3 linked regions of the Xenopus tropicalis genome follow. The main gene of each other region encodes a partner of the protein of the gene in region 2 in a complex. Links are inferred from orthologs where the notes say so. Each region holds a gene or a part of one and is shown on either strand. Other genes may lie near its edges.

What was found.
Region 1: the proteins of ube2f (region 2) and uba3 are in contact, whole or in part, in a crystal structure (PDB 3FN1), measured with the Homo sapiens proteins. The link is inferred for Xenopus tropicalis from reciprocal best matches to the Homo sapiens genes UBE2F and UBA3. Residues at the interface, in NP_001265234.1 of Homo sapiens: Thr27, Arg28, Arg29, Val30, Asp34, Lys35, Val38, Lys39, Val41, Ala42, Glu45, Val54, His55, Phe56, Pro57, Asp58, Pro59, Asn60, Leu62; in NP_003959.3 of Homo sapiens: Ala401, Thr403, Thr405, Leu406, Glu407, Gly408, Asn410, Arg411, Thr412, Ser417, Val418, Thr419, Ser420, Ile421, Arg424, Thr425, Gln442, Glu443, Ala445, Ala447, Asp448, Val449, Thr451, Pro452, Gln453, Thr454, Leu456.
Region 3: the proteins of ube2f (region 2) and dcun1d3 are in contact, whole or in part, in a crystal structure (PDB 4GBA), measured with the Homo sapiens proteins. The link is inferred for Xenopus tropicalis from reciprocal best matches to the Homo sapiens genes UBE2F and DCUN1D3. Residues at the interface, in NP_001265234.1 of Homo sapiens: Leu2, Thr3, Leu4, Lys7, Leu8; in NP_775746.1 of Homo sapiens: Glu108, Glu109, Glu112, Pro122, Thr123, Glu124, Met139, Cys140, Glu194, Ile204, Ala207, Leu208.

What each region holds. Positions count from the first base shown.
Region 1 is NC_030680.2:141,987,415-141,996,966, forward strand, and holds part of uba3 (NEDD8-activating enzyme E1 catalytic subunit), read left to right. Parts: intron 1-262; coding exon 263-418; intron 419-2,687; coding exon 2,688-2,790; intron 2,791-3,092; coding exon 3,093-3,206; intron 3,207-3,538; coding exon 3,539-3,592; intron 3,593-6,236; coding exon 6,237-6,273; intron 6,274-6,352; coding exon 6,353-6,434; intron 6,435-9,335; coding exon 9,336-9,436; intron 9,437-9,552. UniProt on the Homo sapiens protein: Catalytic subunit of the dimeric UBA3-NAE1 E1 enzyme. E1 activates NEDD8 by first adenylating its C-terminal glycine residue with ATP, thereafter linking this residue to the side chain of the catalytic cysteine, yielding a NEDD8-UBA3 thioester and free AMP.
Region 2 is NC_030685.2:59,013,223-59,023,441, reverse strand, and holds the start of ube2f (NEDD8-conjugating enzyme UBE2F), read right to left. Parts: upstream 4,983-10,219; 5' UTR 4,881-4,982; intron 1-4,880. UniProt on the Homo sapiens protein: Accepts the ubiquitin-like protein NEDD8 from the UBA3-NAE1 E1 complex and catalyzes its covalent attachment to other proteins. Together with the E3 ubiquitin ligase RNF7/RBX2, specifically neddylates cullin-5 (CUL5).
Region 3 is NC_030685.2:24,466,936-24,477,283, forward strand, and holds the start of dcun1d3 (DCN1-like protein 3), read right to left. Parts: upstream 5,996-10,348; 5' UTR 5,884-5,995; coding exon of another isoform or gene 5,870-5,883; intron 1-5,869. Other genes in the region: lyrm1 (LYR motif-containing protein 1), read left to right, coding at 9,037-9,189, 10,154-10,246. UniProt on the Homo sapiens protein: Contributes to the neddylation of all cullins by transferring NEDD8 from N-terminally acetylated NEDD8-conjugating E2s enzyme to different cullin C-terminal domain-RBX complexes and may play a role in the cell cycle progression by regulating the SCF ubiquitin E3 ligase complex, after UV damage.

The sequences.
Region 1 (9,552 bases), on a different chromosome or scaffold from region 2:
TTTGAGGCCACTGGGAGCAACATCCAAAGGGTTGGGGAGCAACATGTTGCCTCTGAGCCACTGGTTGAGGATCACTGAGTTAGACTGTAGTTCTCGTTTAATGTTATAATCGCTTTTCCAGTGTTCATTGGAAAATCCTGTCCTTTCTACACAGTTATTAGTTGCTGAATCTGCTTTACTTATATAGATCCTGCTGGTTGTAATATGTGGGAGTATGTTTTTCTTGTAGTTTACCTATTGTTAACGAGAATTCTTCCTCTAGATGTCTCTTCTAAACTATGAAGACGGCGTGTTGCAGCAAAGTACGGTCATTCCCTTAATTGATGGAGGGACAGAGGGCTTTAAAGGAAATTCCAGAGTTATCCTACCAGGAATGACAGCCTGTGTAGAATGTACCCTTGAATTATACCCACCACAGGTAATTACACTAGCAAGGTTGCAATTTTATCCTATAAGCCTAAATAGGATCCTATAATCCTAAATAGGATCTGCTGCAGCATGCCTTACCAACATTCTTATCAAACCATCTGTAAAATATTTTGTGAATTCGGGTCTTTATTGTTGTGCATTGTTAAATATACTAATACATTGAGGATCAGGTATAGACATTGCCATATAATTCAGTACATGTATGGGACCTGTTATGCAGATTGCTTGGGACCTGGGGTTTTCTGGATAAGGGATCTTTCCGTAATTTGGATCTCCATACCCTAAGTCTACTATATAACAATTAATAAATTAAATAAACATTAAACTCAATAGGATTGTTCTGCTTTTAATAAGGATTAATTATATCTTAGTTGGGATCAAGTACAAGGTACTGTTTTATTATTAAAGAGAAAAGGGAATCATTTAACCATTAAATAAACCCAATAGGGCTGTTCTGCCCCAATAAGGGGTAATTATATCTTAGTTGGGATCAAGTACAGGTACTGTTTTATTATTAAAGAGAAAAGGGAATCATTTAACCATTAAATAAACCCAATAGGGCTGTTCTGCCCCAATAAGGGGTAATTATATCTTAGTTGGGATCAAGTACAGGTACTGTTTTATTATTAAAGAGAAAAGGGAATCATTTAACCATTAAATAAACCCAATAGGGCTGTTCTGCCCCCAATAAGGGGTAATTATATCTTAGTTGGGATCAAGTACAGGTACTGTTTTATTATTACAGAGAAAAGGGAATCATTTTTAAAAATTAGAATTATTTGCTTATAATGGAGTTTATGGGAGATGGCCTTCGAGTAATTCGGAACTTTCTGAATAACAGGTTTCCGAATAATGGATCCAATACCTGTACTATAAGAAAACAGATCCTCATGTGGTAGTATTTGTCATTGTAAAATCAACTATAGTAAAATTATATGGATTTGGGATGGGTTCATATTTGGGGCCAGGTCATACTAGAGCTGTTCATCTAATGTTATAATACTCCTCCATTATGTTTATAATGTATGCTGTTTATAGGTAAAGGTTATGATTTAAAAACTACCGTCATACAATGTGATGGAATAGTGGTCTATTAGGGATATGTGGGCCAGCCCGATACCCGAGGGTTCAGTCCGACCTTGGCACAACGTTTGCGGGTCGGACCTTACACTGCTGGGTTCTGGCTCTTTGATTTATAGGCGCGTGTCCATTCACCCCTGTCCTGCCCCTTTTGTGACATCATCGGTGGGTGGGTCAGGCATGGGTCTATAAACAGAGGGGACTAACCAGGTCGGGTAGGGTTTGGGCTGGGAGTGGGCTGGTTAGGGTCTAGCACGGGCTAGTGCTGGGCGGTATGACCAAAAATTTATATCACGGTATTTTTCAAAATTATATCGGTATCACGGTATTTGACGGTATTTTTTTTTCCCCATGCATGATTAGGTGACCACCCCAAACACCCGCCACCCGCACCCCCCCCACCACCCCAAACAACCCCCCATCCGCACGCAGCCCCCCCACCCCCCCATCCGCACGCACGCCCCCACCCCACCCCAAACACCCCCCCATCCGCACGCACCCCCCCACCCCAAACACCCCCCATCCGCACACACCCCCCCATCCGCACGCACCCCCCACCCCAAACACCCCCCCATCCGCACACACCCCCCCCACCCCACCCCACCCCAAACACCCCCCCATCCGCACACACCCCCCCATCCGCACACCCCCCCCACCCCACCCCAAACAGCCCCCCATCCCCTTCACATAAATATAACCCCCCACCCCATCACAACCCCCCCAAACACAACCCCATCCCCTTCACATAAGTATAACCCACCCACCCCAAACACCCCCCCATCCCCTTCACATAAATAACACCCCCCCATCCCCTTCACATAAAATATAATTACTTGCCAGGCACCCCCCCCCCCCCCCGACAGCTCACATTGGTATCCGACTCTGAATGCGTCCTAGCGATGGCGCTTTTGTAGAGTGTGCGCGCTGACGTCACGCGCGCACCCGGAAGTATTCACGCACACCGGTATGGGGGTATGTAGAAAATTCATATCGGTTTAAAAAAAAACACCGGTGATCGGTTTTTACCGGTATACCGCCCAGCACTAGCACGGGCTGAGATTTACTTGACCTGCACATCACTATTTTCTATACCTGACATTCTGTTATATTAGAAATTTCCCTATTAGAAGTGGCTCTCATTTTGTGGCTATTTTGTGAATCTTATTCATCTATTGCAGATCAACTTCCCCATGTGTACAATAGCATCTATGCCCAGATTACCAGAGCACTGCATTGAGTACGTTCGGATACTTCAGTGGCCAAAGGAACAGCCATTTGGAGGTATTGTGCCTCATGGAATCTGTCGGGTTTGCCCGACAGGACTGGCCCATTATAATAAAGGCAACAGTAACTAACATTGATGCCACAACAGCACCCGAGATATCATTTGCCCTTACGTTGTCAGCATCCCTCTACAATGTGCCAGCTTTACCAGTCAGTTGAAAATGTTCCGTAAATACCAGTGAATAGTTTTGGTAATCACAGATGTTGCAGTCTATTGGATCACTATAAAGCGCAAGGCTGTTACATACGTTTTAACATTTATATTGGTAACGTGAATCATGGTTTGTTTCTGCTTATAGAGGGCGTGCAATTAGATGGGGACGACCCTGAACACATCCAGTGGATATTTATGAATTCGTTGGAGAGGGCGAAACAGTTCAACATTCGAGGTGTCACGTACAGACTTACTCAAGGTAGATGTCGTCTGCAGCAAATTTGTATTTATTTTTATTGTAACCATTTATTACTGTGCATCCCATATGCAATCATGGGGGCAGATTCAGAAGGGCAAGCTGTGGGTTCAAATTCCAGAGGGGCTGCTGCAAGATGCCATAGACAGTCAATATTTATTGGGCTTCTGGGGATGTTGTAAGTGTAATTGCAGTCACCTGTCTGTCTACAGCTTACCGGTAGCTCATAAGAGCAATAGACACTTTAAAATTGATGTCAACTTAAAAAAATATCATCTACACACGATACTTTGTTCATATTTGTAACTTGTTTCATGTTTCAATCTTGTCTACAGGTGTTGTAAAGAGAATTATTCCTGCTGTAGCCTCTACAAATGCTGTAATTGCAGGTAAACACAATCTATTCCATTAATAATTCCCTATTTATGCTTATATTACACTAGCCCAGTGATCCCCAACCAGTGGCTCGGGGGCAACATGTTGCTCACCAACCCCTTGGGTGTTGCTCCCAGCGGCCATAAAACATGGGCCCATTTTAAAATGTTTTATTTTCTAACTTGGAGGCACCATGTGTACTGCCAAACAGAACCTACTGTAGGCTGCCAGTCCACATGGGGCTACCTACGAACCAATCACAGCTCTTATTGATCATCAACCTTAAAAGGCCGAATCTTGACCAAATCCCGAACCGAATCCTGGATGCTGCCATAGTTTTATTTTAACTGTTTAGCCTATGGGAAAACCTAATGGGCTGTTTCTGCTGATTTTCTGAGACAATTTTTTTTAATTTTTTGTAGTTTCGGTTAAATAGCTTTTTCAGTTATATAGCTCTCTACTTTGGAATTTCAGCAGCTATCTGGTTGCTTGGGTCTTGTTTACCTTAGCAACCAGGCAGTGGTTTGAATGAAAGACTGGAAGATAAATAGGAGAAGGACTGAATAGAAAGTTAAGTAATAAAAGTAGCAATAATAAAATAGTAGATAATGTTTTGATTTCTGGAGTCAGTGACCCCCATTTAAAGCCTAATGGAAACATTATGAGTGGGATGTATTACTATTTCTCACTTTTTCCCTAGATTGTATGAAGATTTACTGACCCTTCTGACATTGCAGCCATACCTAAACTTTCTTATCCACTCCCCTTTCTAACGTTACCCTTAGTCTGTACAGAGAGACAGTATATACATTTAAACATTGGTATTCTACTATAATAAAGGGGTGATTCAACTTTAGGTTAATTTTTAGTATGTTACAGAATGTCCTACTCCTAGCAATTTTGCAATTGGTCTTTTTTTTTTTTTTTTTAGTTTTTTTAATTCTGTGTTTCACAAGTCTTAAACACATGTTAGGCCCCAAAGATGTACAGTGGAGGAAATAATTATTTGACCCCTCACTGATTTTGTAAGTTTGTCCAATGACAAAGAAATGAAAAGTCTCAGAACAGTATCATTTCAATGGTAGGTTTATTTTAACAGTAGCAGATAGCACATCAAAAGGAAAATCGAAAAAATAACTTTAAATAAAAGATAGCAACTGATTTGCATTTCATTGAGTGAAATAAGTTTTTGAACCCTCTAACAAAAAAAGACTTAATACTTAGTGGAAAAACCCTTGTTTGCAAGCACAGAGGTCAAACGTTTCTTGTAATTGATGACCAAGTTTGCGCACATTTTAGGAGGAATGTTGGTCCCACTCCTCTTTGCAGATCATCTCTAAATCCATAAGGTTTCTGCTTGAGCTTGAGCTCCCTCCATAGGTTTTCTATTGGATTAAGGTCCGGAGACTGACTAGGCCACTCCATGACCTTAATGTGCTTCTTCTTGAGCCACTCCTTTGGTGCCTTTGCTGTATGTTTTGGGTCATTGTCGTGCTGGAACACCCATCCACGACCCATTTTCAGTTTCCTGGCAGAGGGAAGGAGGTTGTCGTTCAGGATTTCACGATACATGGCTCCGTCCATTTTCCCGTTAATGCGAATAAGTTGCCCTGTGCCCTTAGCAGAAGAACACCCCCAAAGCAAAATGTTTCCACCCCCATGCTTGACGGTGGGGACGGTGTTTTGGGGGTCATAGGCAGCATTTTTCTTCCTCCAAACACAGCGAGTTGAGTTAATGCCAAAGAGCTCTATTTTGGTCTCATCAGACAACAGCACCTTCTCCCAGTCACTCACAGAATCATTCAGGTGTTCATTGGCAAACTTCAGACGGGCCTGCACATGTGCCTTCTTGAGCAGGGGGACCTTGCGAGCCCTGCAGGATTTTAATCCATTGCAGTGTAATGTGTTTCCAATGGTTTTCTTGGTGACTGTGGTCCCTGCTAATTTGAGGTCATTAACTAACTCCTCCCGTGTAGTTCTAGGATGCTTTTTCACCTTTCTCAGAATCATTGACACCCCACGAGGTGAGATCTTGCGTGGAGCCCCAGAGCGAGGTCGATTGATGGTCATTTTGTGCTCCTTCCATTTTCGAACAATCGCACCAACAGTTGTCACCTTCTCTCCCAGCTTCTTGCTAATGGTTTTGTAGCCAATTCCAGCCTTGTGCAGGTCTACAATTTTGTCTCTGACATCCTTGGACAGCTCTTTGGTCTTTCCCATGTTGGAGAGTTTGGAGTCTGCTTGATTGATTGATTCTGTGGACAGGTGTCTTTTATACAGGTGACTAGTTAAGACAGGTGTCCTTAATGAGGTTGACTAATTGAGTAGAAGTGTCTAACCACTCTGTGGGAGCCAGAACTCTTAATGGTTGGTAGGGGTTCAAAAACTTATTGCACTCAATGAAATGCAAATCAGTTGCTATCTTTTATTTAAAGTTATTTTTTCGATTTTCCTTTTGATGTGCTATCTGCCACTGTTAAAATAAACCTACCATTGAAATGATACTGTTCTGAGACTTTTCATTTCTTTGTCATTGGACAAACTTACAAAATCAGTGAGGGGTCAAATAATTATTTCCTCCACTGTATATAAACCATTTTGTGGTGTAACACATCAATAATGTGATCACTTTTTTTTTTTTCTTCTTTTTAATTCCAGCTGCCTGTGCCACTGAAGTTTTTAAAATAGCAACAAGGTAAACTTTAGGAACATTGGATTTATATTGATTTGCTTTCCTTTTCTGTCAGTTTAATGATTGAAGTCTCTTTTCATAGCGCCTACATCCCACTGAACAATTACTTGGTGTTTAATGATGTTGATGGATTATACACTTACACCTTTGAAGCAGAAAAAAAGGTTTGTACTGTCTGTTATTTTCCTATTCAGCTGCCAAAAAGGATTTTTTTTTTTTACTGGTAGAAGGCACATTTCCCCATTGTTTAATAAAAATGAGTTACATTTACCAGGATACACACATGACCTTTGTTATTTGTAAAGGCCTTAACAATCCTGATGTAACTACAGATATGTGTATGTTTTGGAAATACTGATAGACTAATTAAAAGTAGTGTTTTTCCAGGGCTTTACGTGTCCTTTATGTCTTGCCCTACTAGCAGCAGGAAGCTTTTTTTGGGGGGGAAAAATATTTTTTTATTTTATACAGGTTGGGATCCATTATGCAGAAAGGCCATCTCTCATAGACTTCGTTATAAGCAAATAATTCTAATTTTTAAAAATCATTTCCTTTTCTCTGTAATAATAAAACAGTACCTGTACTTGATCCCAACTAAGATATAATTACCCCTTATTGGGGCAGAACAGTCCTATTGGGTTTATTTAATGGTTAAATGATTCCCTTTTCTCTGTAATAATAAAACAGTACCTGTACTTGATCCCAACTAAGATATAATTACCCCTTATTGGGGCAGAACAGCCCTATTGGGTTTATTTCATGGTTAAATGATTCACTTTTCTCTGTAATAATAAAACAGTACCTGTACTTGATCCCAACTAAGATATAATTACCCCTTATTGGGGCAGAACAGCCCTATTGGGTTTATTTAATGGTTAAATGATTCACTTTTCTCTGTAATAATAAAACAGTACCTGTACTTGATCCCAACTAAGATATAATTACCCCTTATTGGGGGCAGAACAGCCCTATTGGGTTTATTTAATTTACATTATTATTACATTAACATTTATTTATAAAGCGCCAACATATCCTGCAGCGCTGTACCCTAAGTGGGTTTCATACATTGGACATACAGAGTAACATATAAAGCAATCAATAACCGATACAAGAGGTGAAGAGAGCCCTGCCCAAAAGAGCTTACAATTTAATGGTTAAATAATTCCCTTTTATCTGTAATAATAAAACAGTACCTGTACTTGATCCCAACTAAGATATAATTACCCCTTATTGGGGGCAGAACAGCCCTATTGGGTTTATTTAATGGTTAAATGATTCCCTTTTCTCTGTAATAATAAAACAGTACCTGTACTTGATCCCAACTAAGATATAATTACCCCTTATTGGGGCAGAACAGCCCTATTGGGTTTATTTAATGGTTAAATGATTCCCTTTTCTCTGTAATAATAAAACAGTACCTGTACTTGATCCCAACTAAGATATAATTACCCCTTATTGGGGCAGAACAGCCCTATTGGGTTTATTTAATGGTTAAATGATTCCCTTTTCTCTGTAATCATAAAACAGTACCTGTACTTGATCCCAACTAAGATATAATTACCCCTTATTGGGGCAGAACAGCCCTATTGGGTTTATTTAATGGTTAAATGATTCCCTTTTCTCTGTAATAATAAAACAGTACCTGTACTAGATCCCAACTAAGATATAATTACCCCTTATTGGGGGCAGAACAGCCCTATTGGGTTTATTTAATGGTTAAATGATTCCCTTTTCTCTGTAATAATAAAACAGTACCTGTACTTGATCCCAACTAAGATATAATTACCCCTTATTAGGGGCAGAACAGCCCTATTGGGTTTATTTAATTTACATTATTATTACATTAACATTTATTTATAAAGCGCCAACATATCCCGCAGAGCTGTACAATAAGTGGGTTTCATACATTGGACATACAGAGTAACATATAAAAGCAATCAATAACCGATACAAGAGGTGAAGAGGGCCCTGCCCAAAAGAGCTTACAATTTAATGGTTAAATGATTTCCTTTTCTCTGTAATAATAAAACAGTACCTGTATTTGATCCCAACTAAGATATAATTACCCCTTATTGGGGCAGAACAGCCCTATTGGGTTTATTTAATGGTTAAATGATTTCCTTTTCTCTGTAATAATAAAACAGTACCTGTATTTGATCCCAACTAAGATATAATTACCCCTTATTGGGGGCAGAACAGCCCTATTGGGTTTATTTAATGGTTAAATGGTTCCCTTTTCTCTGTAATAATAAAACAGCACCTGTACTTGATCCCAACTAAAATATAATTACCCCTTATTGGGGGCAGAACAGCCCTATTGGGTTTATTTAATGTTTAAATTATTTTTTAGTAGACTTAAGTTATGGAGAAACATTCTGGAAAACAGGTCCAATACGTGTATGGGGCCTGTTATCTGTAAACCCATTATCCAGAAAGTTCAGAATAACGGAAAGGCCATTTCGAATGTGACAAATTATAACAACTTCTCCCCAGCTTACAAGCAGCATGCAGGAACTACATAACCCACAATGCATTGCACTGGGATGTTCCTTTCCTTATTGACATCACGTGTGCAGCAGGGAATTGTGGGATTGGGAGGAGGCGGGCTGAAGGCAGGCTGAGGGCAGGCGACTACTGTTACAGTTTATTTGAGTCACAAATTAGCCAGCCAGACCAGCAGGGGAACAGGGGGCGGGGCTTAGGGAACTGTTCCAAACCAGATTATCACATTACCAATCATGAAAAGGCTGCATATTTTACAATTGCTTTATTTTGCAAAGGTGCTTGAAATTATGTTTACTTTACACAAAGCTTAAGTTGTGTTTGGGTGGAGTTCCCCTTTAAGGATTGCAGAAAGCCGCCTTCTCCTGTAGCCACCTCCAGTTGAAACATGGTCGCGGACAGGAATTATTCAGCAGTCAGTGATCCCCATCTGCCATCATATAAAATAACGCACTTTTCCAGGACACGTAGTTCCTTTCATTTAGCAGATAAGGGTGAAGTTCTGCGTCACAGCAGCAGTCTAAACGGATTCAACTATAAACATTTCTTTTCTTGTTTGACAGGAAAATTGTCCCGCTTGCAGCCAACTCCCACAGAACATCCAGTTTCCTTCTTCAGCCAAATTGCAGGAGGTGCTGGATTATTTGACAAATGACACATCACTGTAAGTGCTTGATCATCCTTGTTCACCTTTAAATTAACTGTTCCATGACACAAAGAGTAACATTCTGACATCATTTCCAGTTTGTTTTCATTTTTTATTATTTGTGGTTTTTTGAG
Region 2 (10,219 bases):
ATTGCATAGTTTATTACAGCATGTACAAAATATATTCAGAAGTTTTCTGTTAAAAAAACTATCTATATTTGAAAGACCTCCAGCGTACATAATTACACAGTTAATGTGGGTTGAAAAAGCCAACAGTCTACATCTGATACCCAGCATATATCTATACAAAATCTCTAAGTAATGTATAAAAACACACCAACCAGTAGGGCATTCTACATCGGTGAAGAACCAGAGTTCTGTTAGTCAAGTCTAAATTAACACTACGGTAACAGTACATTAACACTTTCTATGGTACTAAAATACCAAGGTAAAGTGTCTAAAAGGTAGATTTTCTTTAGGCATAATTATGTCCTGTGAAAGACCTCAACAGGGTAAAGATATTTGCTGCATCCAGATGAAGGAAAGACATATGCATGTTATTGAGCACATAGGGTGGCTTCTGGCCTGAAAATGGACAACTGATTTTGGAAGGAAATATGCTCCTGTAAGTTTTGCGAAGGTTGAATAAATTCCCATCACTGCACACTTACCCAGGTAGGGGCTGAATCCGTGTTTTTTCACCAGTAGATAACCAACTGATTCACTTACCTTTTGCCCCACATTTGTGTACAGTGACAAGAATACAATCTGCCTGTCACTGCAAACAAATGGCACGTTTCAAGTAGAAAATGCACATTTGAGCTTCTACACTGAGAGGTAGGAAGCAGAATCAGCAGTTTCTCCACTGACATAAAGAAGCTGTTGGAAAAGCTGGTGTGTGACACTAGCCTATTATCTGCTTTTGCATTGTTTTAGTCACTGCCTCTCACAGATCTTCACAATATACAATAGAAACGCAAATGAAGGAAAAATCATAACAAAATGAAGAACTGTGCACAAACAAGAGGTAAGAAAATCTTAGCCCTTAAAAAAACCAAAACTTTTTAAGTGGATACATGCACCAGTCAGCACTATATTTTCAGTAAGTGAGAAATGAATGCAGTGTACCAACAGAAGTAAATGAACAGGGGATCAATCACACAATAAATGCACAGCGTCACAGAGAAAGCAGTCAGAAAAAAATGCAAAGTGAAAAAATGAGCGCCAAAGCAAAGCTGTCATACACAAAATGGCAAACAGATGGCCATAAAATATATTCACGAACTGCAAACAGGGACAAACTAAAAACTAATCATGTGTTCATCGGGCGCTGTGTATTGGAAGCAGTTTCAATCTAAGCTGTTGCAGCAAACGTTGATTTAAAGTGCAAATTCTGCAAAGAATGCCTAGGTTGGTATAATGCTACATCTATGCAAAGGCAGTTACCTCAACTCCGTAGTTATCCATTTAGGGCTGGCACACAACTATGGTGAGTAACTACTGGCACTGTAGCACCCAGAATTTTAAGTTGCTTGAGGATGGTGCAAAACTAAAATACACAACCATTATTTGCTGCTATAGCAATAAACGAAAAGTGTTTGTGTGACAGGCAGTTATCACTTAGAAATTGAAACTGCCATGTTTTCAATTCACTGCCTAACAACTCCCTGACAGCAACTGCAATAGTGGGAAATTCTGGAAAAAGTAGTGGCACTGCCCAACTAATAAAAATCATACAAATCATGCCAGTGCCATTATGGCCCTATTCAGCTGGACAAGCCCACACTAAAATCGACTATTCCTAAACTACAAGGCCATGAAAAATCTAAAATTCATGTCAGAACAGTGGTTCCAGAACTCAACCATAAACTCTGGCGTTCTTGAATACTATGCAGTTGACCACATGGTTTCTCACCCCAGATGAAAAGGAGAAGAAAGATCAGGAAAAAAAAAAAATCCCAGAAGGAGAGAACAATGATGAAGCCATATCTTGAACTGCATAGGGCTGCTGTATATGGAAAACTGGAGCTAGTCTATGAGTGTTTCTATTTGCACAGCCACAACATGCTCATTTCTGGCACAGAAATGGACAATGCAGAACAGATAACTAATAAACTCTACTACATATGCAATTCACAGCCCCCAGTGATTCCTGAGACTTCAATCACATGTTTATGATACCTTTTATGTAAGAGCACTTTAATAGCACAACAGATACAAGTCAATTTCTGGCCACTATTTAAAGGAGAAGGAAAGGTAAAAACTAAGTAAGCTTTATCAGAATGGTCTATGTAAATACAGCCATAAGCACTCACAGAAACGCTGCACTGAGTCCACTGTCAAAAGATTTGTTGTCTCTTTGTTTTCCTGTGTCAGAGACTCACAGCTCTCTCCCCTCTCCTGCTCCCCCCTCCCTCAAGAATGCTAAGAACTCACCCCCCCCTTAGGAATGTGGATCTGAGCCAATCAGCAGGACACTTCCTCATTGTCTTACAAACTGCGCATTTACACCGGTCTTGGTGCAGGAGCGAGGCATTATGGGAACTCAGAGCTCAGCTTTTTTTTTTCCTATGAGGCTTCTGATCATCTGAACAGGAGAAATATGGGGAGACGTAAGGGCACTATTGAGAGAACTGAAGGTATGCCTGCAGCTTGAGAAACTCTATTAGCCTTTCCTTCTCCTTTAAGGAATGTCTAATGTATTAACAAAAAATGGCTTTGAAGAAAAATGTAGACAAATCACCCAGCGTATGTTACAGTTTGGCTGGATCTAAGCAAAGCAAGGAAAAACAAGGTGAAAAAGCAGGGGGAAACAAATCATAAATAAACTTTTTGACTTGTTTTGACAACCCCTTTAAGACACACTGGAATATCATACTGACAGTGTCCCATGTGTAGCACGGTCTTATCTGTAAAGAAACTATATATAAAATATAAGATTGGTCTAAGGAATATAGGGTTTCACAGAGGTAGCAGTCTCCATATCTACGGGCCTTATAGAACTACGAAACTTTGCCTCATAACATCACCAACACTAGGAATATAGTTACATTATCATCTGTAAAAACAAAAGGACTTCCACTCCAACAAAAGCTTCAACATACAGGCCAAAAGTTTAGAAAAAGTAAAAAAGTTTGTATTTAGATAACATGCCGGCCTAATGCATTTCGTGCCCATCTGGCACTTGAAGCAGCACGCATGCAAAAAGATGTGCAGCACGACTGACATAGCCGACACTGGGATTACATTTTAGGATACTAGAATTCAGTGATGAGTTGAGGTGTTTAGTTGGTCAAACAAAGAATTTAAAGGGATTCTGCCATGATTTTATGAAGCACTTTATCTTTCTAAATTGCAAAACATATTTTTTTAATTGGCGTGTAGGTGCCATCTCAGTGTGTTGTGCCTGAGTCTGAACTTTCAGAAGGAGCCAGCGCTACACATTAGAACTGCTTTCAGGTAACCTATTATTTCTCCTACTTCAATGTAACTGAAGGAGTCATGAGCCGGACTTGGATTTTCTACGGAGTGCTATTATGAGATCTACCACTTTTAGCAATACAGGTGTCAGGGAGCTGCTATCTTGCTCCGTTCCCACTGTTCTGCTGATCAACTGCTGGGAGGGGGGTGATATCACTCCAACTTGCAACACAGCAGTAAAGTGTGACTGAAGTTTATCAGAGCACAAGTCACATGACTGTGCACCCTGGGAATCGAAGAATATGGCTAACCCCATGCGAAATTTTAAAATTAAATATTAAAAAATTTGTGCTTTAAAAAAATGGATATCAGTGCAGGATTCCGCTGGAGAAGATCTATTAACTGATGCGTTTTAAAAAAAACATGCTGTATAATAAAAGTCCTTTGCAAATTATGAAACCCAAATTTGTTTGTTTATTAAAACATCCATACTTGTTTCAAATGTATTTAAAAAGTTCAGTTGTCAGTCCTATATTGGATTCCGCACCTCTGTGCCTCAGACATAGCAATCACTTTCACTTTCCATTTTGCACTTCCTAGATGTCACTTTCCTCCACTGACAATCATTGTGTAGCCTGTGAATGGGTGTCAGGTCCCCCATTCTGGTGCATAAACAAGAATTCTGAACAATGCAATGCTTGGTGCCTGCCTTTTGCTGTGATTGTAACTTCCAAGACTGAATATATAGTCCAACTGGAGGTCTTGGGTCTGATGTGGCCTTCCACAGGACCCCAGTCTTCTCGGGGGGTGGGGGGGGGGCTTCACTGTATGACATCATCTTTTCAATATAATCTGCGACTTAAACATGCTGTATAAATAAATGTTGGCCTCACCATGTAAGCATTTGGACAACACTTATGTAGTAAAAGTAAACTTTGACTAACATGACTAAAAATGGGATTTGGAATTATATCTTAGATTGACATGTTTCCTTTAAAAAATAATAGTATTACATTTTATTGAACTTTAATCACCTGTTCATATTATTTCTTTACGGGTGGCACTTACAAAGAATCTGATTCAAACATGGGTTTAAAATCAGCTGTGCGCCCCACTTTAAATTCCTTTTTTTATTACAAGAACCCTTTCTTAAGCCCCCCCCCCCCCCCCCAATCAGCAGCGGGACAGATATTTGGAAGTTATGCATGCCCAGCAAGCTCCATCTGTTACTCTAAACTGGGGTCACAATTAGCAAGCCCAGGTCAGAAGGGGTACAGCCTAGAAGTAGCCTCTGACTGTAAAAAACTGGCAAATAAATGCTATTTATGTGGGGGGCCACACGTTGTTCCCAAATATGATGATCCCAAGCCCCCAACATACAGATTTAGTTGTGTGAAGATACTGGGATTGTAGTACAGAAATAGTTAGGAATGGGTTAAAGAGAAGCTTGCTCTGATGTACAGTACAGACTACTACTGTATAAAAAACAGCACCAGTGACTCCTTCAGTACTAAGTATTATTGATACATTATTACATTACATCAATGACTGCTGTAAATATGAAAGGCAGGCAACCTTCTGGGCACCCTAATTGCTGCCTTGCCACATACCGCCCAACAGCCCCTCTTTTTCCGGGACAGTGCCGATTTTCTTATCACAGCCCGCAGTCCCGGATCGCTGTTAAAAAGTCCCTCAGCCCCGTTAGGGTCTAGCTCCTTAACTCCTGCCGGACAGCGAATCCGCACGTCACACCGCTCATCTCGCGAGTTTATGACGTCACACAGCACGTATATAAGCGCTGGAACGCCGCACGTAGCCGCCCAGTGGGAGTGGTGAGGGAACGCGGAGTGGGGTAGTGCGTTATGGGCACTAGTGAGGTTGTGTTGGGCTTGCTCGTTATATTTTTATTAGAGGAAAAATACATTTTTTCGTGGTGGTTGCAACCCACGGTTGCTGCTACCAGAGCTTTGGCTCCCAATGTTTGACCAAGCCTTAAGTAATTCATGCTTTCTTTGCTATCTAGAATTTGCACATATGCTAGGAAAAATATTCTGTGGAGTTCCAGCTGCAGCTAGAGTATCTGCGCCTAGTATTTTATTAGGCGCAGGGTTTTCAACTTACACTTCTACTTGTGTCAGGAGCAAAAGAGGGGAATACTTTCCAGCATTACCTGCCATAGCATTTGCTGCCCATGTATAACCAAACATTCAGTTGTTTTTATCTCTGCTCAGAGCTCCCACCAATGCAAGAAAACCAAAAAAAGATGTTCTTCCTGGTTGCCAACAATACGTGCTAAAGCTGATTCTCATCTCAGTTTGGAGACAAAATAATGACTAATTTAGAATACAATGGGTGAATGAAGCAAAAGTAGGATCTTTTCTTAGAGTGGAATCAGGGGCCCAGTATTTTTGTGAAAGCAAGGGGTAGATTTAGTCAAAATTTGTGGCAAAAAAGGGCTACTTTAGGTGAATACAATGACTGAAATTGACCAAAAGTTATCGTGAGTTTTTAGGTCCTTTTTTTTTTGTAAAGTGTCATCCAAGGGTTTTTAGAGTTTTATGTGAAACCAGATTTTTCACAATACAGGGAGGACTGTTTAAGGTGAATATAATGGGTAAAATATACTAACAGTAATGTTTTAGGCATTGAAGAGTCCCAGTGTTTTTTGTGTAAACAAGGGTCAGATTTTTCACTATTGTGGAACCAAACAATACTTAATTTAGTAAAATTGACCAAAGGTAGTCTAGCAGGCTAGCGCTGGAAAGGGTTTCCCCTGTTTCACAGAGGAGTTAGACCACACAAGCTGTCACCCACAACTATCCAAAAATGGGGAAATATGGGCTAAACCCAAAGAGTACCTTTGATCAGATGTTGTGGGTCAGATTTAACCTGATCCATTGTGGAACACCACCATCAAAGTTCATGTAATTCTATGCAAAAAAAAGTTGCTCCAACTGAATCTGACTATCTTGTTGGATGTGACACAGCATGCACGTGTTGGGCTTGCTGGTTATATTTTTATTAGAGGAAAAATACTTTTTTTTCGTGGTAGTTGCAACCCATGGTTGCGGCTACCAGAGCTTTGGCTCCCAATGTTTGACCAAGCCTTAAGTAATTCATGCTTTTATTTGCTATCTAGAATTTGCACATATGCCAGTGAAAGTATTCTGTGGAGTTCCAGCTGCAGCTAGAGTAGCGCCCAGTATTTTATTAGGCGCAGGGTTTTCAACTTACAACTTCTACTTGTGTCAGGAGCAAAAGAGGAGAACACTTTTTCCAGCATTACCTGCCATAGCAATAGCATCTGCTCCTGATATTTAACCAAACTTGCAATTGTTTTTATCTCTGCTCAGAGCTCCCACCAATGCAAGAGAACCAAAAAAGATGTTCTTCCTGGTTGCCAACAATATGTGCTGAAGCTGATTCTCATCTGATTTATCAAAAAAAGTGGAAATTTTTATAATGCTGTAACCCTTTTTTGGCTGAAAAGCACAAATTAAGAACAAAAATAGGCTAAATGAGGAGATTATAATGCATAAAAATACCCATACTAATCTTTAGTTTTTATGATCTTTTGTTCATAATGGTGTTAAAGGGTCATTGCCAAAGGCCAAGTATTTTATAATTTAGGGACAAAACAAAGGCTAATTTAGGAGAAGACAATGGCTAAAATTGTCAAAAATTAATGTAGAGCGTTTAGGGTTTTACTCTGGCATAAAAGGATTCCAGTGTCTTTTTGAAAGAAGATGACAATAAGTGACAATCACTTTTAATCAATACAATTTTCCAGTAGCTGGTTACTGAATATTAATTAAGAGAATTATGGATATTTGATACCAATTGCTGCAAGTAGCTTTATAATTTCCCTTATTGGGCACTGGGATTCACGTGTATTCATGTGATCATTTAACGATTATATATTCTTCCTGAAAGAAGAGCATTTGTTACTTGCCTTGTCACTTGTGCCAGGGCACAAAGAAAGACACTTTTTTACTGGCTGCTAATAATATTCGCCTCCACCAAAGCCTCTGCTCCCAATAGTAATTCATTTTTATATTTGCCTACAAGGGTTCCTATTTGGGCCAAGGAACAATAAAACAACTTTCCCAGTTTTCCCTGGTGGTTAAAAGCAATCCCTGCAGCTACCATATCCTCTATTGTCAATGTTTGATGAAAAAGTGTATATTCTTTCACTTTTTTTCATGGTTTCAAACAATACCTATTGTTGGGCCCATGTATTCACAATGCAAGGACAAAAATTCCTTGTTTAAGACAAAGATAATGAGTGAAATTGACCAAATTTAATGTTTTTTAATTCTGGCGCAAAAAGATCCCAATGATTTAGGTAAAAGCTAGGGCCAAATTTTTGTTTTACAATTTAGGGACACCTTGAACTAGAAAGCAGATGCAGAGTTAAAAGGGCTAGATATAACAGCTTAGTTCTTAGTTCATGGGCATTGTGGCTCTTATGCTGAGGGCTGTGATCAGGGCTACAGGGAATACTGCAGTCAGGCCCCATGGCAGAGGGTGGTACTGAAATGAAAAAGTGTGATTTTGGGTCACTAAAGGAGCAGGTCTTGTGAGGAGTGGGTAGGGGTTGGGTGGGTCATGGGTTTTGGCATAATTGAAGTGTGACCAGAGCGGATGAGGGACATGGCTGTGTAATGCATACGCCGCACCTTCCTAAGGTGCTTTTCGCTGTACAACTCTTCCGTTACTGACCCCAAGTGGGGCAAAATTTATTGGAAAGTAGGTTTGGTTTTTGGTAGATTGTGGGTGTGATGGGTGCTAACTTGGGTGTGTTCTGGGCATAATGGTTGTGAGGCCTAAATTGGTATACCTGTATAATTGGTATGATATACCACAATACTGATCCTATAGCCAAATTGTGTTCTTCATTAGCCCGACAATCATGGTTTAAAACCTGCACTCCCACGTTTAGTCAGTTTCCTTTTCTCTACTTGCCACTAGTTTGATTGACTGATCAAACTGATTGGCCATGGTTTGCAGGGTTCCAGGAATAGCTATAGATTTTAAAGTATATTACTGGTAGAGTGGAGAGCCCAGATGCCCTGCCTATAGCACAGGAAGGTGGATAAACCATATACAAATTGATGGCAGGCTCAGTTATTCAGAAGATGTTTTTCACCTTTACAGGACACACTTCCAGGTGTAACAAGAGAGACAGCAGACCTTATCACTACTAGGGGTTCCAGGATATAGACAATCCTATGCGGGTTCTGACACAAATTTAGTATATATGTGAAATGGATTCATCAGCCCATGCTCTTTTATGTAAAAAGTTGTATTCCAGTCACTAGGAAGGTGCCTGAGCAGGTTCTCCTTTGTGGCACTCAAGGAAGGATTTTTCTAGGGAAGCTATATAAGAGGAAGGATAGTGGCCCATTTTATCTTTGACGGATGTAAATAAGTCAAGAGCAGATGAATCCTGTGAGCCTGAGGCCTGCTACGTCATGTATCAAGGCAAGCCAAGTAGGTTAGCTATTGGTAGCCCAGATCCGTGGAGCTTGCTGCAAGGGTGAGAGAGTGCTAGGCCAGCTAGGTTAGTAGCAATACATGCTATTTTTTTGGGCACCAGTTATTAGAAACATTTCAGTAAAAATGGAAATTTGTACCAATATTTAGTGCTTTGCTTTCTCTTTCTCATTATTTAGCATACCATTAATTGTAGCAAATAAGTTATTGCTATGTAAAATAAAGAGGACAGCCAGGACATGCAAAGTTCTCGAAGCGACACAGTCCTGACTGATCTTTACTTGCTATTACTGAACTCTGAAGCACAAGTGCTTTGTTTGCTAAATAATATAATGTAAAGGAGGGATTTTGGCAAATTAAATGTATCTGGGAAAACATTAATCTTGCAAAGACATATCACTTTAGTGGGTTTTTTTGCTAAAGGTGGGCATGCCTTATAATACATAGATTTCCTAATTTTTTCTCCATAAAATACTGCATTTTTCTCAATGCTGAGAAATAACATGCTAGATAAGGGTAGTATTTTCAGTAGTGTAGTGACTTAGCTGCCAACAAAATATAGGTAAATACAAGTAATTAATTTATGAGATCTTATGTTAGGTGGCATTGGATATAGGTTAAAGAGAGTAGCTTCTGGTATTTAAGATCAGTATTGTGTTTACTTTAATAATTAAAAGGTAACCCCCGTATTTAATAAAAGGCACTATGTTTGCCCAGTAGCACTAGCCCATAGTAACTAATAATATTTTTGCTTTTAAACAGGTGAACAGAAATTGCTACTTGAGCTAACTTAGTGCCTTTTTATTACATAACCCCTTTTTTGTTAATTGCAACTCCACCAAACATGAATATCTCACATTTAATGCAGTACCAGCTGAGTGATGAAAACCAGGGTATATTCTAGAAAGACCAGCACAACAGAATGCCATGAATATTGAACTTAATTAAAGGCATTAGAAAGGGGAGGCATTATATAACACTTCAAGATACCATTAGATATTGTTGAAACCAAGGATGATGGAATAAATAACCTTGCTTAAAGGGGACCTGTCATCCAGACATAAAACTATAATAAAAGTAATTTTCAAATTAAACATGAAGCCCAAATTACTTTTTTTTAATTAAAACATCCATATCCATTATAAAGTCATTTAAATATCCCAGCTGTGAGGCTTGAGGAGACAAATAATTTGCATAAAATTCCAAGAGAACGTAACAAGCAGATTCGCCCAATATATCAATAAACCTGCAAGAAAGAATTTGAGTCAGAATATAACTATTATAATAATAAAAAAACAACAAAACACAAATACAAGAGTATTGTAGAAATGATACCTATATTGGCTAACAATAAAAATACATTGCAAGCTTTCGGAGCTCTAAGGCCCCTTCATCAGGCAGAATGCAAATGAGAACTGAAATGGCACAACATTTATACTGATAGATCAGAGAG
Region 3 (10,348 bases), about 35 Mb from region 2:
CAGACGCCTGATCTGTTTACGAGGCCAGTACAAGAAATCAGGGAACTTATAGAAGTGGGGGAGTCGAGAGTTTGCCCATAAGGGTATATTGGGTGTTAAAGTTGGGGAGTGTTGTGGATATATCTTGAGTGCTAGGTTCCAGGCTGTCCTCGGAGTTGCCATTACTGCTGGAAGGTTTTTGTGGTCTGTGGTTGCTCTATATGGGAGATGTCTAAGGCCCTCCACTGACCCTACTGTTACTGCTTGCAGATTCATATTTGGGTTGTATGGGTCAGGGTCGAACCACCATTTAATATAGTGCAACTGACTAGCTAGGTAGTAGAGGTACAGATCTGGTAATCCCAATCCCCCTTCTTTGGTGGGGGGGGTTAGTTTTTTCCAAGCAATTCTAGGGGTTTTTCCTCCCCATATGAAATGTATTAAGGTCTGGTTAACGGCTTTAAAGAAGCTTTTTGGGATATGAATAGGAGAATTGTGGAAGGTATATAGAAAGCGTGGCAGGTAAATCATCTTAAAAATGTTAATTTTCCCCCAAAGTGTTAAGGGAAGTTTGGACCACATGGGTAGGATATTATTTAGGGAGGATATGATTGGGTCTAGGTTTCTTGTCGTATAGGTGTTTAGGTATAGGTGGACTTGGATTCCCAAGTACTTAAATGAATCTACTGTCATTACGGGGATATCTTGTGGTAGAGCAGGGAGGGGGGGGGATGAAAGATCCTGTAGTGTAAATGTCACACATTGCATATACAGTGGAGGAAATAATTATTTGACCCCTCACTGATTTTGTAAGTTTGTCCAATGAAATGAAAAGTCTCAGAACAGTATCATTTCAATGGTAGGTTTATTTTAACAGTGGCAGATAGCACATCAAAAGGAAAATCAAAAAAATAACTTTAAATAAAAGATAGCAACTGATTTGCATTTCATTGAGTGAAATAAGTTTTTGAACCCCTACCAACCATTAAGAGTTCTGGCTCCCACAGAGTGGTTAGACACTTCTACTCAATTAGTCAACCTCATTAAGGACACCTGTCTTAACTAGTCACCTGTATAAAAGACACCTGTCCACAGAATCAATCAATCAAGCAGACTCCAAACTCTCCAACATGGGAAAGACCAAAGAGCTGTCCAAGGATGTCAGAGACAAAATTGTAGACCTGCACAAGGCTGGAATGGGCTACAAAACCATTAGCAAGAAGCTGGGAAAGAAGGTGACAACTGTTGGTGCAATTGTTCGAAAATGGAAGGAGCACAAAATGACCATCAATCGACCTCGCTCTGGGGCTCCACGAAAGATCTCACCTCGTGGGGTGTCAATGAAAGGTGAAAAAGCATCCTAGAACTACACGGGAGGAGTTAGTTTATGACCTCAAATTAGCAGGGACCACAGTCACCAAGAAAACCATTGGAAACACATTACACCGCAATGGATTAAAATCCTGCAGGGCTCGCAAGGTCCCCCTGCTCAAGAAGGCACATGTGCAGGCCTGTCTGAAGTTTGCCAATGAACACCTGAATGATTCTGTGAGTGACTGGGAGAAGGTGCTGTGGTCTGATGAGACCAAAATAGAGCTCTTTGGCATTAACTCAACTCGCTGTGTTTGGAGGAAGAAAAATGCTGCCTATGACCCCCAAAACACCGTCCCCACCGTCAAGCATGGGGGTGGAAACATTTTGCTTTGGGGGTGTTTTTCTGCTAAGGGCACAGGACAACTTATTCGCATTAACGGGAAAATGGACGGAGCCATGTATCGTGAAATCCTGAACGACAACCTCCTTCCCTCTGCCAGGAAACTGAAAATGGGTCGTGGATGGGTGTTCCAGCACGACAATGACCCAAAACATACAGCAAAGGCAACAAAGGAGTGGCTCAAGAAGAAGCACATTAAGGTCATGGAGTGGCCTAGTCAGTCTCCGGACCTTAATCCAATAGAAAACCTATGGAGGGAGCTCAAGCTCAGAGTTGCACAGAGACAGCCTCGAAACCTTAGGGATTTAGAGATGATCTGCAAAGAGGAGTGGACCAACATTCCTCCTAAAATGTGCGCAAACTTGGTCATCAATTACAAGAAACGTTTGACCTCTGTGCTTGCAAACAAGGGTTTTTCCACTAAGTATTAAGTCTTTTTTTGTTAGAGGGTTCAAAAACTTATTTCACTCAATGAAATGCAAATCAGTTGCTATCTTTTATTTAAAGTTATTTTTTCGATTTTCCTTTTGATGTGCTATCTGCCACTGTTAAAATAAACCTACCATTGAAATGATACTGTTCTGAGACTTTTCATTTCTTTGTCATTGGACAAACTTACAAAATCAGTGAGGGGTCAAATAATTATTTCCTCCACTGTATCATTCCCTTTGTATTTGTAGTGTCCTGTCCATGCCTGAAAAAATCAGTTTTAACTCTTAATTTAGCGACAGTCACAAGATAAAGGCAAATATTAAAAAAACAAAAGTATGAGCTACAATAGCCCTGTAGCATAATCCTGCTGGTAGCGGCGCTCATTGGAATCCTGCTTGCTACATTCTTTGCCTAATGCAATGTTCAACATCCTCGTGCCAAGTAGGTTAGCTCAGATACCCCACCCCACTCCCTGCTTTAGATCCATCATAAAACCAAATGGCGTATGGCTTTAAAGGTATTAAACAATTAGGCAGAAGGTCAGGCAAAACATTATGCATCTGGACCATCGATTTCTGCTGAATGGGCAACACAATTAACGTCAGGGGCTGGAATAAACAATCCTGGGCAAGCGGCATATAATCTGCTCTTATAAAAGAAATAAGCATAACAATATGTGACAGCTCTGTCCTGAGAATATCCACCTCTCACAACCATTGCGCAGAGCCACCCAATTATAGTGTTACCCTTATCTCAGCACCCTCGTCATAGAGGCAGTGTAAAACCTGGCAGCTAGAAGTGGCATGGCATATACAGTAACTAACACGTAGGGTTATATAGCAACATGCAGGCCCAGATTTAAAATAGGCCCTGGAATTATAAGTACACAGAAGCCTTAAACAGCCCACCACTAACCCAATAAATAGTGACTGCCTATGGCATCTTACAGCAGCCCCTCTGGCATTTGCCAAAACCTACAGATTGCCAGTCCGGGCCTGGTAACATACAGTAAAATGTTCAACTGATTTCTATGGGTTACTTGACTGCCCCTATTGACACAGAACCTTTACATCAGTCATGGAGTTCCTGTCTACACAGCCCATGAAAGCAGAATGCCCTTCTTAGAACTTGCCCCTCCATAATTTGGTGCATTCCAAAAATCTTTCAAGAAGATCAAAACACTTACAGTTCTGCTGAAGCTCTTTAAGTGCTATAGGCCCGCACTGAAACTGCAAAAATCTTAAATTGACTTTGTAATCAGCAGAATATGGCCAATCATCGACCTATGGCAGCCTTGCAAGAACACCAAATTGCAGAGCTATGGAAGATACCCTCACTGTTATAGGGTTCCTGTATCACCAGATTGTTACAGCAGTCTCAGGCTATTGCCCAATGGGGGACACCATCAGCCTGTAGGCACACACACAGCAGATTTCATGCCAATAGAAGTCAGAATGCCAGTGGTTTACTGCAGGTGCAAATTACCCAGTGTTGGTAACCAAGCCTGTGTGTTGGCATTAGAAAGAGGAAACGGTTTTGCCTCACAAGGAAACTTAGGAAAACCAAAGCAACACGCCATCCCATCAGTGATTCACATTCTTGTCTGGGAGATTAGTCGCCAACAAAAGTGAAGATTAAGGGCCCACGACTAATCTCCCCGAAATGCCATCCCACTGGCTAGAATGTAAATCGCCGGTGAGATGGCATACGCGGGACGGTGATTTGCTGAAATCACGGAAGTTGTCTTGAAAGGAAAATTTAGGGATTTTGGCGCTGCGTATGCCATCCCACCATGATTTACATTCTAGCCAGTGGGGTGGCATTTTGGGGAGATTAGTCGCGGGCCATGGCCCTTATCACGGGTGACTAATCTCCCCCTGTGCCACTGCCCTTACAATACTGAGAATTGCCTCTGCTAAAACACACGTGGAGACAGTTATCAGTAAATGATCAGCATTGTCTGTTTTAGTAGCCATGACAAGTAGCTGCTACTAGTAGCTCTGTGTGTCTTCACCCTAAGGGCCACGGCAGATGGGGAGATTAATCTCCCTGAAATGGCCTCCCACCGGCGAGAATGTAAATCACCGGTGGGATGGCATATGCGGCGCCGCAATTTCCCGAAATCGCAGCGAATAATCTCTCCGTCTGCCATGGCCCTAAAGAAAAAGCCTCCCATCATTGTTTATAGCCAAGCATTGTGATAAAAGCTAATTAACACAAAGTAAGCCATTTAGCACCTACGTGGCACTTTTTAGACAGTCCCCAGAGCACACATTTCTTTCCCATGCTAATAGGCCCCAGCCATTGTTGCTTTACAAATAATGGGATTCTATATAAAACACAAAGATAAACAGAAGGCCTCCAAATAATCCAGCAAACAAGGTAAAACCCCAGACTATGAGAGATACATACAATACTTATAACACTAACTCAAATCATGCTATTTATATGTTGAAATGTAACTACATATATTATAATACAGATCAAAATCATAGTTGGGGGGGCATACAAATGCTGATATTAAACAGCTGCTACAATCCCAACGATCTCCTATGTGGATAAACAAATTCAATTCACATTCTTGGCCCATTCTAGAACAATATCTTTAGGTACAACATGTCAGGACATGCCCCTATCTGCTAGGCCTATAGGTTCCTTGATATGCAATGGTCTGTTTTATAATGTAGCCATACTCGGGCAGCTTTAGACCAAATCAGCAGTTTATCTGCCCGTGTATGAGGACCCCCCGACAGGCCTGCCCAACCGATATCTGGCTACAAATTGCCCGGATATGGATTGGGCTGGTTGACACATAGACCCAGTTCTTGTTCTGACGGCTCCAACATTGTTGTAATGATGGGAATATCAGGGGGAAATATCGGCTCGTTCGGCAACCTGGCCAAATGAGCAGATAGTGTATAGCCACCTTAATATGTGGCGTCTGTATCTCGAGTCATTGTCCTAATTACAGTCATATAAAGGCCATATAAAACTATGAATGCCTTTCTTGCTTTGTCAGACTAATCCACCCATCCCCCATGCAGTATAAAAAAGATCCTGGTTCCATCGAACCAGATCAGACTGAATATAAAGAGAATAGCAGGATAAGTGACAGCCTAACTAACCCCAGCCCTGGGGCCAATAACTGCCCCCCTATCTGTGGCAGGGAAGGAAGCTATAATGTCTCGGCACAGTGATCTGACCCCTTGTGTTGCTGTCTGTATGGATTTTGGGGTCACAGCCTCATTGCCTAATGCTTAAAACACAACTTTCCCCTGTTTGTTCTGGCTAGGGATCTGCAGCCACTGTATCTGCAGTTATAGTTCAACTACATCTCTGCCCATGGGGGTAGTGAGGTGCTCAGCCTCTCCAGCCCTTAGAAGTCCCAGTATCAGCCCATGGCAGAACAGCAGGGAGTTGTAGTTCAGTAGCTGCCAGGGGAAACCATCCCCAAACAGCTGCAGGGCCTCCCCATTACCGATACAGTAGGGTGTGTGTGTGTGAGGGGCCTCAGTCTGCAGGTAGCGGAGATGTGGCCCCATAGCAACACAAGGAGCCCCTGGCTGGGGGGGGGGGTATAATAATCCAACATGGAGCCCCCCAGCCGTGGCTATTCCCTGGGTGGGTAAGTGCGGAGCTGCAGTGGAACAATAGGTACAGACTGTATATATCAGGGCTGAGCCCAGCGGCCACACACACACACATACATACATACACACACACACAAAGCCCCCCCCCGCTCACCATGGCTGCCGCATCACTTCCCGCTTTGCCCCATTCTGCCTCAGGTGTTACAGGGGGACCGGCAGCGCCCCAATCACTTGTGAGCCTGCGACGTCCGCACCTTCCAGCTCCCCCTCCTTCCTTTCCTCCAGCCGTGACGTGCCCGCTGCGCCCGGCGCACTTCTACCGACGTCACAGGCTAAACAAGGGAGGAAAGAAAAAGTGACATCAGTGTATTCTCACGGAGTCCGCCCACGGGTGTCTCGGTGTCAGGGGGGGGGGCGTGTTGTGTCGCGGAAGAGGCGTGGTACCGTCAGGTCAGTCACAGCGGCAGTATTGGGCAGTATAGAGCTGGGGCGGGGCGCTGTGCATGCTGGGTAGGGGCAGTGCTCGGCCTGTAGGTGTAGGTGCGCTGTCACTGCCGGTGATACTGAGGGTTCTCTGTAATATAACTATATATAACTATAGCTGCTCTACTGAAGGAGGGCGGGGCCTGGGTTATACATATAGGGGGTGGGTAGGGAGTCCGGTAAATCTGCCCACAAATAGGAACAGAAACTCTGAAAGGGCAAAAGTCACCCTGTGGTACCCTGTGACTCCTATCACTAACCCCCTGCAATTCCTACCCACCAACATTCCTCTCAGGTATTATGTGCACTTATGTTATGGGAATATTCTAGAGTAAATGGTGCCCATATGCCAGCGCTATAGCGCCCATACACCCAGAGCAGCGCCAGGGAAGCCTGAATGTCTATAGTAAATGGTGCCCATATGCCAGCGCTATAGTGCCCATACACCCAGAGCAGCGCCAGGGAAGCCTGAATGTCTATAGTAAATGGTGCCCATATGCCAGCGCTATAGCGCCCATACACCCAGAGCAGCGCCAGGGAAGCCTGAATGTCTATAGTAAATGGTGCCCATATGCCAGCGCTATAGCACCCATACACCCAGAGCAGCGCCAGGAAAGCCTGAATGTCTATAGTAAATGGTGCCCATATGCCAGCGCTATAGCGCCCATACACCCAGAGCAGCGCCAGGAAAGCCTGAATGTCTATAGTAAATGGTGCCCATATGCCAGTGCTATAGTGCCCATACACCCAGAGCAGCGCCAGGAAAGCCTGAATGTCTATAGTAAATGGTGCCCATATGCCAGAGCTATAGTGCCCATACACCCAGAGCAGCGCCAGGAAAGCCTGAATGTCTATAGTAAATGGTGCCCATATGCCAGAGCTATAGTGCCCATACACCCAGAGCAGCGCCAGGAAAGCCTGAATGTCTATAGTAAATGGTGCCCATATGCCAGTGCTATAGCGCCCATACACCCAGAGCAGCGCCAGGGAAGCCTGAATGTCTATAGTAAATGGTGCCCATATGCCAGTGCTATAGCGCCCATACACCCAGAGCAGCGCCAGGGAAGCCTGAATGTCTATAGTAAATGGTGCCCATATGCCAGTGCTATAGCGCCCATACACCCCGAGCAGCGCCAGGGAAGCCTAAATGTCTATAGTAAATGGTGCCCATATGCCAGCGCTATAGTGCCCATACACCCAGAGCAGCGCCAGGGAAGCCTAAATGTCTATAGTAAATGGTGCCCATATGCCAGCGCTATAGTGCCCATACACCCAGAGCAGCGCCAGGGAAGCCTGAATGTCTATAGTAAATGGTGCCCATATGCCAGCGCTATAGTGCCCATACACCCAGAGCAGCGCCAGGAAAGCCTGAATGTCTATAGTATATGGTGCCCCTATGCCAGCGCTATAGTGCCCATACACCCGGAATAGCGCCAGGGAAGCCTAAATGTCTATAGTAAATGGTGCCCATATGCCAGTGCTATAGCGCCCATACACCCAGAGCAGCGCCAGGGAAGCCTAAATGTCTGTAGTAAATGGTGCCCATATGCCCAGAACAGCGCCAGGGAAGCCTAAATGTCTGTAGTAAATGGTGCCCATATGCCAGCACTATAGCGCCCATACACCCAGAGCAGCGCCAGGGAAGCCTAAATGTCTGTAGTAAATGGTGCCCATATGCCAGCACTATAGTGCCCATATGCCCAGAACAGCGCCAGGGAAGCCTAAATGTCTGTAGTAAATAGCGCCCATATGCCCAGAACAGCGCCAGGGAAGCCTAAATGTCTGTAGTAAATGGTGCCCATATGCCAGCACTATAGCGCCCATATGCCCAGAACAGTGCCAGGGAAGCCTAAATGTCTGTAGTAAATGGTGCCCATATGCCAGCACTATAGCGCCCATATGCCCAGAACAGCGCCAGGGAAGCCTAAATGTCTGTAGTAAATGGTGCCCATATGCCAGCACTATAGTGCCCATACATCCAGAGCAGCGCCAGGAAAGCCTAAATGTCTGTAGTAAATGGTGCCCATATGCCCAGAACAGCGCCAGGGAAGCCTAAATGTCTGTAGTAAATGGTGCCCATATGCCAGCACTATAGCGCCCATATGCCCAGAACAGCGCCAGGGAAGCCTAAATGTCTGTAGTAAATGGTGCCCATATGCCAGCACTATAGTGCCCATACACCCAGAGCAGCGCCAGGAAAGCCTAAATGTCTGTAGTAAATGGTGCCCATATGCCAGCACTATAGCGCCCATATGCCCAGAACAGCGCCAGGGAAGCCTAAATGTCTATAGTAAATGGTGCCCATATGCCAGCACTATAGCGCCCATATGCCCAGAACAGTGCCAGGGAAGCCTAAATGTCTGTAGTAAATGGTGCCCATATGCCAGTACTATAGCGCCCATACACCCAGAACAGCGCCAGGGAAGCCTGAATGTGGCAGCACAGCATTCTGTAAGCAGTCCACTTTTTCCGGAAGGAGGTTAGCCATTGTTCCCTGGGCGGGGTGTCCGACTAATGACACCCATGATCATTTTGACTTTCCATGTCCTTAAAATATGAATAAATCCCCTGCCACCCCACAGTTCCCCCAATTCATTTCCTCTGGTGCCCCCACCAGAGGTAACATGGGTGGAGCTGCAGGGAGTTAGGGCGGTCCAACTGGAGGCCCTCAAAATGATTTTAATGGCCCCCAGCCTGCCCATGGGCTCCATAGACTTCACGGTATAACTGTATAACTTATACAATGTTGAACAACACTTTTTAGTAGATGAGTGTGAGGTCTCTCTGCTTCTCTTTTCAATTCATACATACATAATTTTTTTTTAATTGCAGGTTACAATGGGGACCCGTCACGAGGTTTTAAGCCTTTATCGGCAGATTTTCCGAATAGCAAGAAAATGGCAGGCAGCATCAGGACTTAAGGAAGAAACTATAAAAGAGAAAAAATACATTGTGGATGAAGCTAGAAAGTTATTCTATAAAAACAAAAAGGTACATATAACTGTGCTGTACGTGGGTTCCCTATGGGCAGGCTCTCCCTTTAACCTCTAGCACATCAGGATCACGTGGGGCACTAAAGTACTGTTGGGCTTATGTAGGGGCAACTATTGCTCCCAATAAAGGCCTGTATTTATCAGGGGGCGGAACTGCACAGTCCTGTTACCTCTACCCAACACCTTACACCTCTTCAGCCTGGGTCGCTGCAGCAATGGCATTATTCTTGGGGACAGGTCTTGGACATGATAGGCTGGAGCACCCATATAAACTCTGCCCTAACCAATCAAGTCTTTACCCAACCCCCAACGTCAAATTTCACTTCTACAGCAGCCATTTTAGAAGCGGCATCTAGGGTTGGAAACCGGAGTGTAGGCGGGGCATGGAATGTTAACACATTAGAATATATAGTGATACTGACGGGTTCCTGTAATCCTGAAATGTGTTATATGTTAACCCTTAAGGAGAAATATTGTGTAAAATACAAGAATGTGCCAGTGCATTATACGTGTATATATATAGAAGGATTATGCTTTTTTAAATTTATTGAGAAATTCCACCAAAATGCTACTAGTCCAACCCATCTGTTCTACTTTCTGCTGCCTCCTTTCGCAGGCTGTGCAGGGGAGCACTGTTAAACAGGAACCAATCAGCAGCTAGGCTGACCTGATAGGGAACTGGAGCCTGTATTTGCTTGTGTGACTGCGGGGCTGTGATTGGCTATCCCTCTCCTACTGTGTTTCTGGCAGGGACCGTTAAGACACACCCACCTCTCATTGGTGACACAAACAGGGACACAAGCATATAGGGAGCTCCAGGAAAGGAGGAATAATATTCACTATTGCCTACAAGATTTGGGGGGGGGGGGGCGGGATTTTTGCTATTAGTCTCCCTTAACTGCCACGTCTTTGTGATCCTGCTGTGCCACATATAACCAGTAAGCACTGTTCTTTTTTTGTAGATTACAGATCTTCAGATGATTAAAATGTGTATAGAAGAATGCAAGGCAAGAGTGGAGATTGGATTGCATTATAGGAATCCATACCCCAGGCCTGTAAGCATTAGTCCTACTTCCCTCCCAAACCAAATACTGTTACTTTCTTTCCTGTCCCCTTCATGTTTTTCCTTCTGTCTCTGCCCTTCTTCCTAGATACTA